Linked DNA regions of Struthio camelus. The protein of the gene in region 2 interacts with the protein of the main gene of each other region in a pairwise test. Links are inferred from orthologs where the notes say so. Each region holds a gene or a part of one and is shown on either strand. Other genes may lie near its edges.

Evidence for each region.
Region 1: the proteins of REL (region 2) and CDKN2C interact in binary tests that used the Homo sapiens proteins (3 or more experiments, as listed by UniProt). The two-hybrid records come from large-scale screens. The link is inferred for Struthio camelus from reciprocal best matches to the Homo sapiens genes REL and CDKN2C.
Region 3: the proteins of REL (region 2) and ACOT8 interact in binary tests that used the Homo sapiens proteins (3 or more experiments, as listed by UniProt). The two-hybrid records come from large-scale screens. The link is inferred for Struthio camelus from reciprocal best matches to the Homo sapiens genes REL and ACOT8.

The regions. Positions count from the first base shown.
Region 1 is NC_090949.1:30,979,066-30,982,810, reverse strand, and holds the start of CDKN2C (cyclin-dependent kinase 4 inhibitor C), read right to left. Parts: upstream 2,146-3,745; 5' UTR 2,000-2,145; intron 1,643-1,999; 5' UTR 1,631-1,642; coding exon 1,502-1,630; intron 1-1,501. UniProt on the Homo sapiens protein: Interacts strongly with CDK6, weakly with CDK4. Inhibits cell growth and proliferation with a correlated dependence on endogenous retinoblastoma protein RB.
Region 2 is NC_090944.1:131,633,245-131,636,989, forward strand, and holds the start of REL (proto-oncogene c-Rel), read right to left. Parts: upstream 2,534-3,745; 5' UTR 2,519-2,533; coding exon 2,467-2,518; intron 1,065-2,466; coding exon 922-1,064; intron 1-921. UniProt on the Homo sapiens protein: Proto-oncogene that may play a role in differentiation and lymphopoiesis.
Region 3 is NC_090959.1:19,316,688-19,320,432, forward strand, and holds the start of ACOT8 (acyl-coenzyme A thioesterase 8), read right to left. Parts: upstream 2,480-3,745; 5' UTR 2,430-2,479; coding exon 2,299-2,429; intron 2,226-2,298; coding exon 2,089-2,225; intron 896-2,088; coding exon 670-895; intron 388-669; coding exon 230-387; intron 1-229. UniProt on the Homo sapiens protein: Catalyzes the hydrolysis of acyl-CoAs into free fatty acids and coenzyme A (CoASH), regulating their respective intracellular levels. Displays no strong substrate specificity with respect to the carboxylic acid moiety of Acyl-CoAs.

The DNA.
Region 1 (3,745 bases), on a different chromosome or scaffold from region 2:
CTTCTGTTTTGATTTTTGTTTGCGGTTCCTTAACTCAGTTATGATTAGGCTGCAATAAAAAGTATTGTTAGTACACAGATGCGTGTTTAATATAGCTGAATGCTCTGTCCTTGTGTAAAATATTCCTTAATTTAGGGCACGGACGTTTAGTTTCTTTTAGCAAAATACATTACTGTAGTACCATTCGGTTTTCAGCCCCCGTCTGGAGGATAAAGCATCTAGCTAAATGTTTCCTGCTTTTTAAAAAAAGTTAGTTTGTACAAGTTTCTAATTTAAATCCTTCCCTGCTCCTAAAAGTTGCTGCGAGTGTCTGCACTGTCATACGATGTCCTATTTAGGTGATAACAGTGCAAAGATAATCTTACAGCTCTCGAGTTTAGGTGAAATTGTCAAACAAGGGTCAGTACTGCTTTACAACAAGAGGTGCTTATTTTCGAGGTCTAACATTTTGATGGTAAGCCAAAAACCTGTAAATATCTCGAGCGCATTCGCAAGCTACATGCTTTTTGAAAACAAAATTTCAGAAATGAATATCGTGGTTTCGGGGGAGGGGGAGAGAGGAGTTAATAGAAACGATTTTTCTAATGTGTGAAATTAAAAAGTCCCACAGCTCTACTTCCACATTTCTTTACATTCCCTTAAGTATATAAATAACCACACATTTCCTCCTGATTTATAAATCACTTATTTCACTATTTTGTATGCATTCTACCATTTTCGCCATCATTATCTGATATTATGAAAAGAGAAATCTTTCATCAGCTCCAATAGTTAGCAGCTGGATGAGTTCCAAATCCTGTCTGCACAGCTACCCACTTAAAAATTAGGACAGAGGACCCTATACGATCAGAAATGAAATAGCTGGAAGCAATGCCTTGCCATCCGATCTAAAAATTCAAATATTTAAGCCTTAATTATGAATGAAAAGGCAAGTGATTCAGACTGAGCTGTAACTCATTCGGCTAGCTATGAATGTACATCTAAGGTACTCGATTCTGTGTAGCAGCTTCGAAATGAGAAAGGTCATTCGTCACAAACAGCGTATAAAGGAAAAGTACCATCTACCGCAGAACTAATAATCGAGAAAAGCAATGTTTTAACAGCATACTATAGGGGGAACAAAAAATAACTCTAAGCTTCAAATAGTAACACAGATGTGTTTACAGACCTGCTCTGAAATCCTGCTCACCTAAGATGATTTCTTTTCATCTCCTCTCTTCCATTCTTTGCCTCCTCCCCACTAAGTTACAAAATATTATTAAACTTGTAGCCCGTTTGACATTGAGGGTGATCCCCGACTGAAATAATGGTTTTGACCAGTTTTATTTCAAGTACGTCATTTTAGGGAGTTGGAGCCACTAAAGTTATAAAATATGGCATCCAACTACTTTAAAAAACACTCGAATTTCGTCCACCAGCCTGTTTAAAACGTTGTCTTTTTGGAAACCCGGGTCACGTAGGTAGCAGTGATGAAATATTTTCTCCCTCTCTGGATACCAACCTGCAGCGCAGTCCTCCCAAATCCATTTTGTGCATTGACGTTTACATTCTTTTGCAACAAATTAGTAAGTTGCACTAGGTCCCCCTTGGCAGCCGCGGACGCCAGCTCGTTCCCAGAAGGCTCGGCCATTCTTTAGGGTGACTGACGATCGGAAAAAGATGAGATTTTTTTTTAACCAGGCATGGCATCGGAGACTGACAGAAGGATTGGGATGGTTAATCTTCTGGAGTAGACCTTGTAGTAAATACTCGTAAAAAAACTCCTTGCCAAGAGCCCGCCCCTAACTCACACGTGATTATTCAGCAAAACTGCAGCTCCACTTGAAAGAAGATTTCTTCGCTTCCACATATAGAGTAACTCCTATTAAAGACTTTGGCCAGTTTAAAGGGAAATATATTAAAAGCTATGAAATATATGATATATGTTATATGTAACATATATACACGTACCCTGGAGCCTGAGTCAGCCCTGAAATCTTTGAAGAAGAAAACAACCCACCCTGTTCACAGTCGGGATGCGAGACTTAGCAGCAACAGCTCCGAAGAAAAGTCTTCTCTAGCGGCGCGCGTCCATGCCCGGGGGGATGCCCCCTGGCAGCCGGCACGGCCGCCTCCAGGGCGAGCCGCGCGGGGCGGCGGCGGGGCCGGCGGGCGGCGGCGGGGCCGGCCGCAGCGCTCGCTCCCTCGGCGCGGCGGCCCCGGCGCTCCTGGCTTCGCGCAGCAGCGTCGATCCCGCGTCCTGGCGGAGCCCGGGCGCAGCGGGCGGGCGCGGTGGCGGGCGGCGGCGGCGGCGGCTCCGGCGCATCCAGGAGGCCGGCGGGGCCGCGGGCGGCGGCGGCGGCCTGGCGGCGGCGGCGGCGCAGAGGCAGCCGCATGCCGCCGCCCGCGCTCAGGGCGCGGAGCCGCCGCGGCGCCGCCGGCGCGCAGCCGTCTCCGCGGCGCGGCCGGGCCCCGCGGCCGGCGCTCGGCGCTCCGCTGGGCGGCTCGGCGCTCCCCGGTGTGGTGGTGCCTCTCTCGCTGCCGCCGTCCCGAGCGCGCTGGCCGCGCCGAGGAAGGGGAGCGGTGTGTGCGAGCAGCGGGCGAGGAGGAGGAGGAGGCGGACCGGCTCCCGGGAGCGCCCGGAGGGCAAAGGCTGCGCCGGGGCAGCCGCAGCCCGCGCAGCAGCCGCGCGGGCGCGGGCGGCCCGGGCAGCGCGGCACCCCGGCTGCCGCCAACCAGCTGTGCCGCCGCCGGCCCCTCGGCTCGCAGCCTCCGGCGCGCAGTGACAGCAGCGGCTTTCCTTTTCTTTCAACTTTGCAAAATAAAGCTGCACTTGCCGGTCTGCAATCGCTGCCTCCGCCCGCGACTTTACGCTCCCCCTTTTTTAAGCACAAACAATCTCTACTTCTGTTTCCTACGGACACGAAGCCGGTTTCTTTTTTTTTTTTTTCTTTCCCCCTTTTTTTTTTAACCTCATCAGCTTTTTTTGAAAAGAAAAAAAATTTGAGCGCTTTTTGAGTTGAAACACCCGCCCACATTTTAACGGCAGAGATTTAAGGAGGCGCGGCGGAGTTGCGGCGCGGCCGGCGGGCGGGCAGGAAGGCCTGCACGGCGCCCGCCCCTCGCCCGGCCCCGCCGCGCAGGCCCCGGCTCCGGTCCCGGCTCCGGTCCCGCGCACGCTGCGCGCCGGGCGGCGGCGGGGCCCGCGCCGTGCGGGGCTCCCCCCGCTTGGCGGACCGGGCAGGGCAGGGACGTGCCCGCCGCCGCCGCAGTCGCCAGGTCGCTGGTTCAGAGGCTCCGCTGCCGAGGCCTAAAGCGGGAGCGCTTGAGCGCCCGGAGCCGCTGCGCCAGCGCGGAGGGCCGAGCCGCCGCGGGCAGCGCGCCCCGCCGCTCCCCCGGCACCCAGCGCCGCCGCCCCGGGGTCCCGCGGGCTCGCGGCCGAGCGGTGCCCACCTGCCCGCAGCGGCCCCGGCCCGGCACCGCGGAGGCGGCGGCTTCCCGGGCAGGGTCCGGTCCTGCCGCGGTGCTGGCTCTGCTCCGCAGGGACAAGGTCACGGATGAAGGGCCAATGTCAAGTCGCGGTAGCTGTGAGAGGCGAGAATGCAGAACAGAAATCTTTGCTGTTCGTGTTTCTGATGTTCTTGGTTAATTTGAAAGGGCCATTTTGAGGGGAAAAGGCACGTAACTACAAGGAAGACGTGAGGGATTCACTGCTTCAAAGGGAAAAGAAGTAACGACGGTACAGTATGGAGATTTTATTACCGTT
Region 2 (3,745 bases):
CAGATTGTAAGAGATAAAGGAAAACCTATCAACTTAAAACTTCAAATAGCAAACCAGAAAAACTCTTCTGTATTACCCTACCCATCTAGGACTTCCCAGACACATTCCTTTGTCCCACATGTAAAGGAAACAACAGCAAGATTGGCAGTTAACTTTCACAACATCTCCAAAACACTTCCATCCACCTCCGCTGTCCATACCTTTGTCTCTGCTTTGATCATAGCTGCCAGGACTAGCCTGAATCCCTTCATTCTGGATTTCCCAACCTATCCTTAATGCAACCACCCAGCTCTTCTTCACCCGCAGGTGCTCTGACCACATAATTCCCCTTTCTCAGCTCCTTTTTAAATTCTGTATCCCCTTCTGACTTCATATACTTCACGGTAGTTTCTGTTGCAGAAACTAATCACTGAATCACTGGCTGCAAGTCACTTTCTTACTTTACTCCTTTCTACAGAGTACTTTCTTTCATGCTGCACCAGCAGTGAGACTGGCCTTTTCAAAATCTGTACACGGACAGCCTCCTTCAGAGCCCTCCCAAAATTCACATTACAGTCCAAAACAGTTAAATTAAACCCAAGGCACAAAACTAAGAAAGCAGAACATGCGAACATACAGAAAAAGCTAAAAACAAATGATTCTCCAACACTGAGTAACATTACTTTGAGTTCCCTCTGTACTGGTGCTTTGTTACCTACCTGTACATCATCTTCTGTTCTGCTAAATGTGGAGCAAAATCTTTAATGACCAGCAGCAAAGAACTCCTTTTCCAATCTGTTTCAACTACATTTGGATGCCCAGGAAAGACTGGCACAGCATGAAATGAGGAACATCCTCTTTATTTACTGCATCAAATCAAACGCATAGCTACAGTACAATGCTAATGTGGGCAATGATAATCCTGGATAAAAGTAGTATTACCTGTATGGAAGGGAACGTCTTATTGTTTTCTGTACTGTGTTCTCCTGGAATGCTGCCTGCTGATCTTCCCTCACATTTGTATCTGAAACGCATTCCCCTTTGCCTGGGTTGTTCAAATATTTCAATGTAGGGTTCAGGGCCACCTTTAAAAAAAAAATGAAACACTTTCAATGCTAGTAGTAGAGACTAAAAAGCAGCAGAAGGCAAGCTACATGGTTAGCTGCTACATAAGAATTAGAAAATCCAGATGCTTTTATTGATTATTACCTTTATTTCATTTGGTCTACCTTGTCAGACAATCAACTCTTCTTTCAATGTGTATACACGCAACCAAAGGTGAGGGGTAAGGAGGGGACAGCAGATTTAAAATGAAGTGTCCAGGTATCAATGCCATGTAAATAATCAGCAGAGGATTCTGCCCTCCCTCCCATCTCCCCTGGAACTTAAATTCTCTAATAGCTAAAAGAAATTATGTCTGATAAAAGAGGATTTTATACAACAGAAGAAAAAAAATCATTATTTCAAGGGAACAGTTGATATTTTTTAATTACAATACACTTTTAGGAATGGTTGTCCTCTCAAAGTACAGGTACTGTCAGTAGTATGTTCTCTTGAATAGCCTCTGAAAGTAAAGATATTTCCTCAGAATCGATTGATTTAGTTCCCATTATAGTGAAGCAGAAACTATGCAAATTATGAAAGAAAAAAAAACAGAAAAAAAAATACAGAACCCCCCCACACCCACTGCTACTGGTTGAGTACCATCACTGAGGGTCTCAGAAAATACACGATTGCTGGTACTGCAGTTTGACCTGCCCACTTCCCACAGGGCTAGCTTCTGGTTGCAGGATCCCCCATACACAGAAAACATCTTAGTAAAGACTACTGGGCAGTTGTCAAAAGAGGCTTTTCAGGAAATGTGACAGACAAGAATGAGAGACAGCAGCTGTTTTTAATGAAAGGTTTAGAAAGACTTTTGACTTAGCATGAGTTTCGCTATTTTAAAGTAATGTTTTACTGACAGCCAATATATTCAAGGTATCGAACATATCTCACTGAGAACAGCCAACAGGATAGTCAGTCAAACAGTGACAACAGTGGGATGGCATGTGAAAAACAAATAACAGAGGGAAAGTAAATATTGTAGAAGTTGAATCATCATGGTGTTACACGATCAGAAGAACACAACTTGTCACCTTGCTCTTACTTGTATGTATGTTTTACTTGAAGACATTTACAGACCGCTATGGAATGGCAGCACATGAAAGGAGCTCTGATGCTGGCACTGCCTTCAACACTACCCGCCTTTCCAAAGTCCGTCAGCTGAATGCCTTTTGAAGGGCAAACTGCATTTCAACTTCAGGCTGTATTTGGTGGCAAAATCTGAGAACGACAGTTTCACGTTGCTTTCTAACCTTTTATCAAAATGGCAATAACAAAACTGATCACCTTCCATCCAGTAGATTTTAAGTCAGTTTCGGAAGACAGACCCTGCGCTGTCACATTAAACACATCTCAGCCACTACTCTAGCCCCAGTTACTCACAAGGATGGGCAATTTTACGTGTGCCTCTCAGATCCTTCAGATAAGTTTTCATATTTTCTCCTTCTGGAAAACAAGCAAATCCAGCAAAGGGTGAGGATGGATGGACAGTATTAACAAAAAAGCCTAGAATTCGTGCAAAGCTGGCTGCAGAGAGCAATCAGATGCCTCAGCTCCTCACAAAGTCAAGCCCACACATCAGTGTACGACTATGCAACTTTCACACGTAAAACTTACTTATGCTAACACATATATCAGGTCGGTCCAGTGGACAATAAGAAGAGTGACTGTTGGGTATTCATTAGCCTCCCATCTCCATCACGTAAGCGAGGAGAGAAAAGAATCTCACTTTTCCATCCCTAGATAACACAGCGTATCACAAATACAGACATATATCTATATATTAAATTAAAAATCTATTTTAGATGTTACGGTGACAAAACTGGAGTAAAGTGCCTAATAATCTTCTTTCTTTGGAGACAGACACATGCTTGCATAGCTGCTAAACAGACCCACAACACACCCACATACCTTACGTATCTGTCAAAACTAGCTAGAGCCTTGCTGTGTGAAATTGCTATAGTACACAATAATTTCAAGTCTTTAACTCTCTCTGCTTTAACCAATGATTTCCCTTCACGCTCTACTTACTAATACTCGCTTAAGAGGACTTTTTTTTCTCACCCGTTAAGAGCACTTGAGTATTTTAGAACTCTGGGCTCAATGATCTTTAGGGGACTGCGGTCGAAACAAATGTCATTGAAGGCAAACCCACCGCTTAACAGCAGGTGTGTTTGTGGGAAAGTTAAGCTCAGTGACGCGGTAGCCTCCAGAGATTAAATATTAAACTTCGTTTTATCTTGGTTCTCACTCTCTCTATTTAAGAATCATGTTATTATCTCCACCACAATTATTTATCAGTGTCATCATGTCTTGTGTAGAGAGGAAACACATAAAAGTGGTTGCGTGAACTAAAGGTATTATCAGCACTCTGCAGTGAAGTGGAGGTCTGTTCAGTGTTCCCTATTTCTGTAAATAAGCAATGTACTTGTGAAGTGGCACTGTTTAATTATTTCATAATCTACACACACACACACACAGTTGCTGGAGAACTGTCCTTTTGAGATCTTGTTTTGTTTGTCAAAGAAATATGAGCTATGTCAAAAATTGACACTCTTCCACCAATCCTGTAAGAGAAACGTAAGGCTCCTTATATTACCTATTTGCCCGCATCTACTCAGCCAAGGGTTTGAAATGGAAGCAAAACAAAAATCTAGCTAAC
Region 3 (3,745 bases), on a different chromosome or scaffold from region 2:
GCAATTGAGCGTGGCAAACAGGCACCTTTTCATGCCCCAGCACCCACAGCTGTATTTCAGCTTTGAGAGCTCCAGGCTTCCTCCTATGTCTGGGGCACAGAGAGCCCGCGGATTGTGACCCTCTCAGCTCGCTGTCATGAGTTTGCCCCACAGCGTTACTGTGAGCTTGAGCCTGAGCCCGAGCATTCACTTTGGGAGGGAGCTGGGCCACCGCTGTGGCAGTACCTACCAATATAGCCTCGTGCTCGCACCCAGAAGAGGTGCTTTGGCTCCTGTGGCTCTGAGCAGAATACAGCTGGCGGGTGCACAGGTTTGATATCAATTGGCACATCCTTGGCTTGAATCTTGTTGAGAAGCTTTCTGTATTTCTCTGCCAAGTTAGGATCCCTTCAGACCAACACAGAGCACTGACATTAATGCCAAGCATCCAGCAGAAGACCTAGGAGGGGTCTAGCTGGCAGTAGTTTCAGCTCAGGGATCCAGGGCCACACAGAAAAGCAGAAACGGCACAGCTCCTGCCCTGTTCTATTTCTCTATTCCCCTCCCAAGAGTATTTGAGAACTCCTCAAATAGCCACTCAAATCCTTCCCCATCTGCTTTTGTCCCTGCACCTCCCTAATCCCAAGCTGCAGAGAAGAGTCCCCAGTGGCCCCTTTCCTCTGCACTCACTCCAGGAACTTCTGAATGAGCTCTTCTTGGGTCAGCAGCTCCTCAGGGGGTGGCACCGTAGGCATGGTGAATTGGTGCTGCACAGGGCTCTCCTGGGCCAGCTGGAAGGAGGCCTGGCAGATGAAGATTGGCTTCCCATGCTGAATGGCCTTCACGGAGCGAACAGAAAAGCTTTTCCCTGTGCGGGTCCGCTCTACCTCGTACAGCACCGGCACCTCAGGATCCCCTGGAACAGAAAAGAGCTATTCTGCCGTTGGGCAGCCACATGCCACAGAGAAGACCTGGTCTGCACAGATCAAGCACTAGGGCCCAGCAGGCTGAACTGTTTGCGCCCAGAGCTGGGAGTGCTGCCCACATCCTCTGTGATGGAGCCAGAATGGTGGCACCTACTCGTTCCTGTGAGCGTCAGCCCTGGATCCCCAACTCCTCAGTAACCAGATTCACCCGCCTAGCCCCAATCCCCCCATCCCTACCCAGCCTCTCCCCCAGCCCCCGCCCCAGCCTCCAGACTCACCTGTCCTCCCCCCCCCCAGCCCCCAGACTCACCTGCCCCACATCCCCTGCCCCAGCTCCCGGACTCGCTTGCCCCCCTGTCCCCCACCCCACTGTCCCCCGCCCCAGCCCCCGGACTCGCCTGCCCCACATCCCCCGCCCCGTCCCCCGGACTCGCCTGCCCCCTGTCCCCCGCCCCAGCCCCCGGACTCGCCTGCCCCCCTGTCCCCCGCCCCAGCCCCCAGACTCGCCTGCCCCCCTGTCCCCCGCCCCAGCCCCCAGACTCGCCTGCCCCCCTGTCCCCCGCCCCAGCTCCCGGACTCGCCTGCCCCCCTGTCCCCCGCCCCAGCCCCCAGACTCGCCTGCCCCCCTGTCCCCCGCCCCGTCCCCCGGACTCGCCTGCCCCACATCCCCTGCCCCAGCCCCCGGACTCGCCTGCCCCCCTGTCCCCCGCCCCAGCTCCCGGACTCGCCTGCCCCCCTGTCCCCCGCCCCACTGTCCCCCGCCCCAGCCCCCGGACTCGCCTGCCCCCCTGTCCCCCGCCCCAGCCCCCGGACTCGCCTGCCCCCCTGTCCCCCGCCCCAGCTCCCGGACTCGCCTGCCCCCCTGTCCCCCGCCCCGTCCCCCGGACTCGCCTGCCCCCCTGTCCCCCGCCCCAGCCCCCGGACTCGCCTGCCCCCCTGTCCCCCGCCCCAGCTCCCGGACTCGCCTGCCCCCCTGTCCCCCGCCCCAGCCCCCGGACTCGCCTGCCCCCCTGTCCCCCGCCCCGTCCCCCGGACTCGCCTGCCCCCCCCAGCCCTCAGCCATCCCCTGCACCAGCCCCGCTCTGGTCCCCCACCAGCCGCAGGCGCTCCCCCCAGCCCCGGCCCCGGCCCGGCCCCGCAGCTCCCCCCACCGCCGCCCCCGGCCCGGCCCGGCCCGGCCCACCTGCCCGCACGAAGTAGCAGTGCAGCGAGTGGACCTGGAGGTCGCGGCCGACGGCGTGGGCGGCCGCCACCAGGGCCTGGCCCACGATCTGCCCGCCGAAGAGGCGCTGCGTGGCGGGCACCCAGTGGTGCCGGCCCCTGCGGGCGAGAGGGCGGCGGTGAGGGCGGCGCGGCCGCGGGCGGCGGCCCGGCGCGGCGCGGCCCCGCGCACCTGAACAGGTCGAGCTCCAGCCGCTCCAGGCTCAGCACGCTGGTGAGCAGCACGCTGCGCAGGTCCCCGGGCGGCGGCGGCGGCGGCAGCAGCCCCCCGCCGGGCCCCGCCGCGCCCCCGGCAGCCGCCATCGCCTCAGCCGCCGCCGCCGCTCAACAGCGACATCCGGCAGCCGCGCGGAGAAGCGGGAAGCACCGCCCCGGCGCCTGCCCGTCAATCCTCGGGCGGGGCCGAAACCGCCGAGCTGGTTCGACAGCCTCCTGCCAATCATAGCCATGGAGCCTATTATTGGTCGGATCCGGGCTGTGGGCGGGGCCTCTCTGGGTTAAATAAGCGCGGAGGGCCCGCCCCCTCTCGGCGGGTCTCTCGCGGGGGCGGTGATGGCGGCGGGCGGGCTGAGGGGCCGAGCCGGGCCGAACCGGGTCGAACCGAGCCGCCGCCGGCCCGGCCCGGCCATGGAGCTCGGTGCCCGCTTCAGGAGCTACGAGGACTTCCCGGAGCGCTTCCGCGCCTACAAGGCGGCGCAGCGGTGCCGCTACGGCCTGCGGAGCGGCCTCTTGAACGGGGAGGCTGGACTAGATGGTCTCCAGAGGGCCCATCCAGCCTAAACGATTCTGTGCGATTCTGTCTCCGTGCGCTGCCACAACCGGGCGCGCGGCACCGCCGTCCGCGAGGACCTCAGGTGAGGCCGCCCCCTCCCCCCCGGGGCCCCGCTGCCCCCCGGGCCGGGCCCGAGGCGGCCGTAGCCGCGGGCCCCCGCCAGTTCGCGTTTGAAGCTGTTTGCGCGTCTCTTGGAGCCAGGCTGTTCGTCCCTCTAAAAGGGCCGGTTCTGACGGCGTGACGTGCTCATGGCCACGGGTGCTGCTGACTGTGTCGCACTTGCTGTTTTCGTAGTCTCAGCTGGTTTTCGTTTCGTTCCTACCTTCCCCCTAACTCTTTTCTAGCTCGTGTCAAGCCAATCTCACTTTCTCTCTCCTTCTGCTGGTAGCAGTCTCCTGTCTCATGTCTTTGTTGCTCAGCTCTGTCCGGGGCCTTATTCTGCTTTTTGGTTTGATGGTTCTCTCTACCGTTTGTAGCAAAACCCGTAGCATTGATCTTTGAAATGATCCTTTTGTGACATTGCTGGCTAACTATCCCCGCAGCCTTTTTGCGCTATGGTAGCGTGGCTTTAAATATTGATGTCACTTAGCCTTCTCTAACTGCCTGTTACATCACTGCGAGGGAAAGGTGTAGTCACATTTCTCTTCTGTAATACTTGATTCTGCAGCCCTTGCTATCTGTGTAGTTCTACTAAAGCCATGAAGCAGTCTCATTTCCATCTTAAGTCAGTGGATTCACTCATGTGAGCGAAGGCTGCAAGGTTGTGCTCTGGTTACGTAACTTGCCGCCTTAAGATATAATTTAATCTCATGTCTTAAAGCCTTTCCTACTATGGTCTACCCTGCTC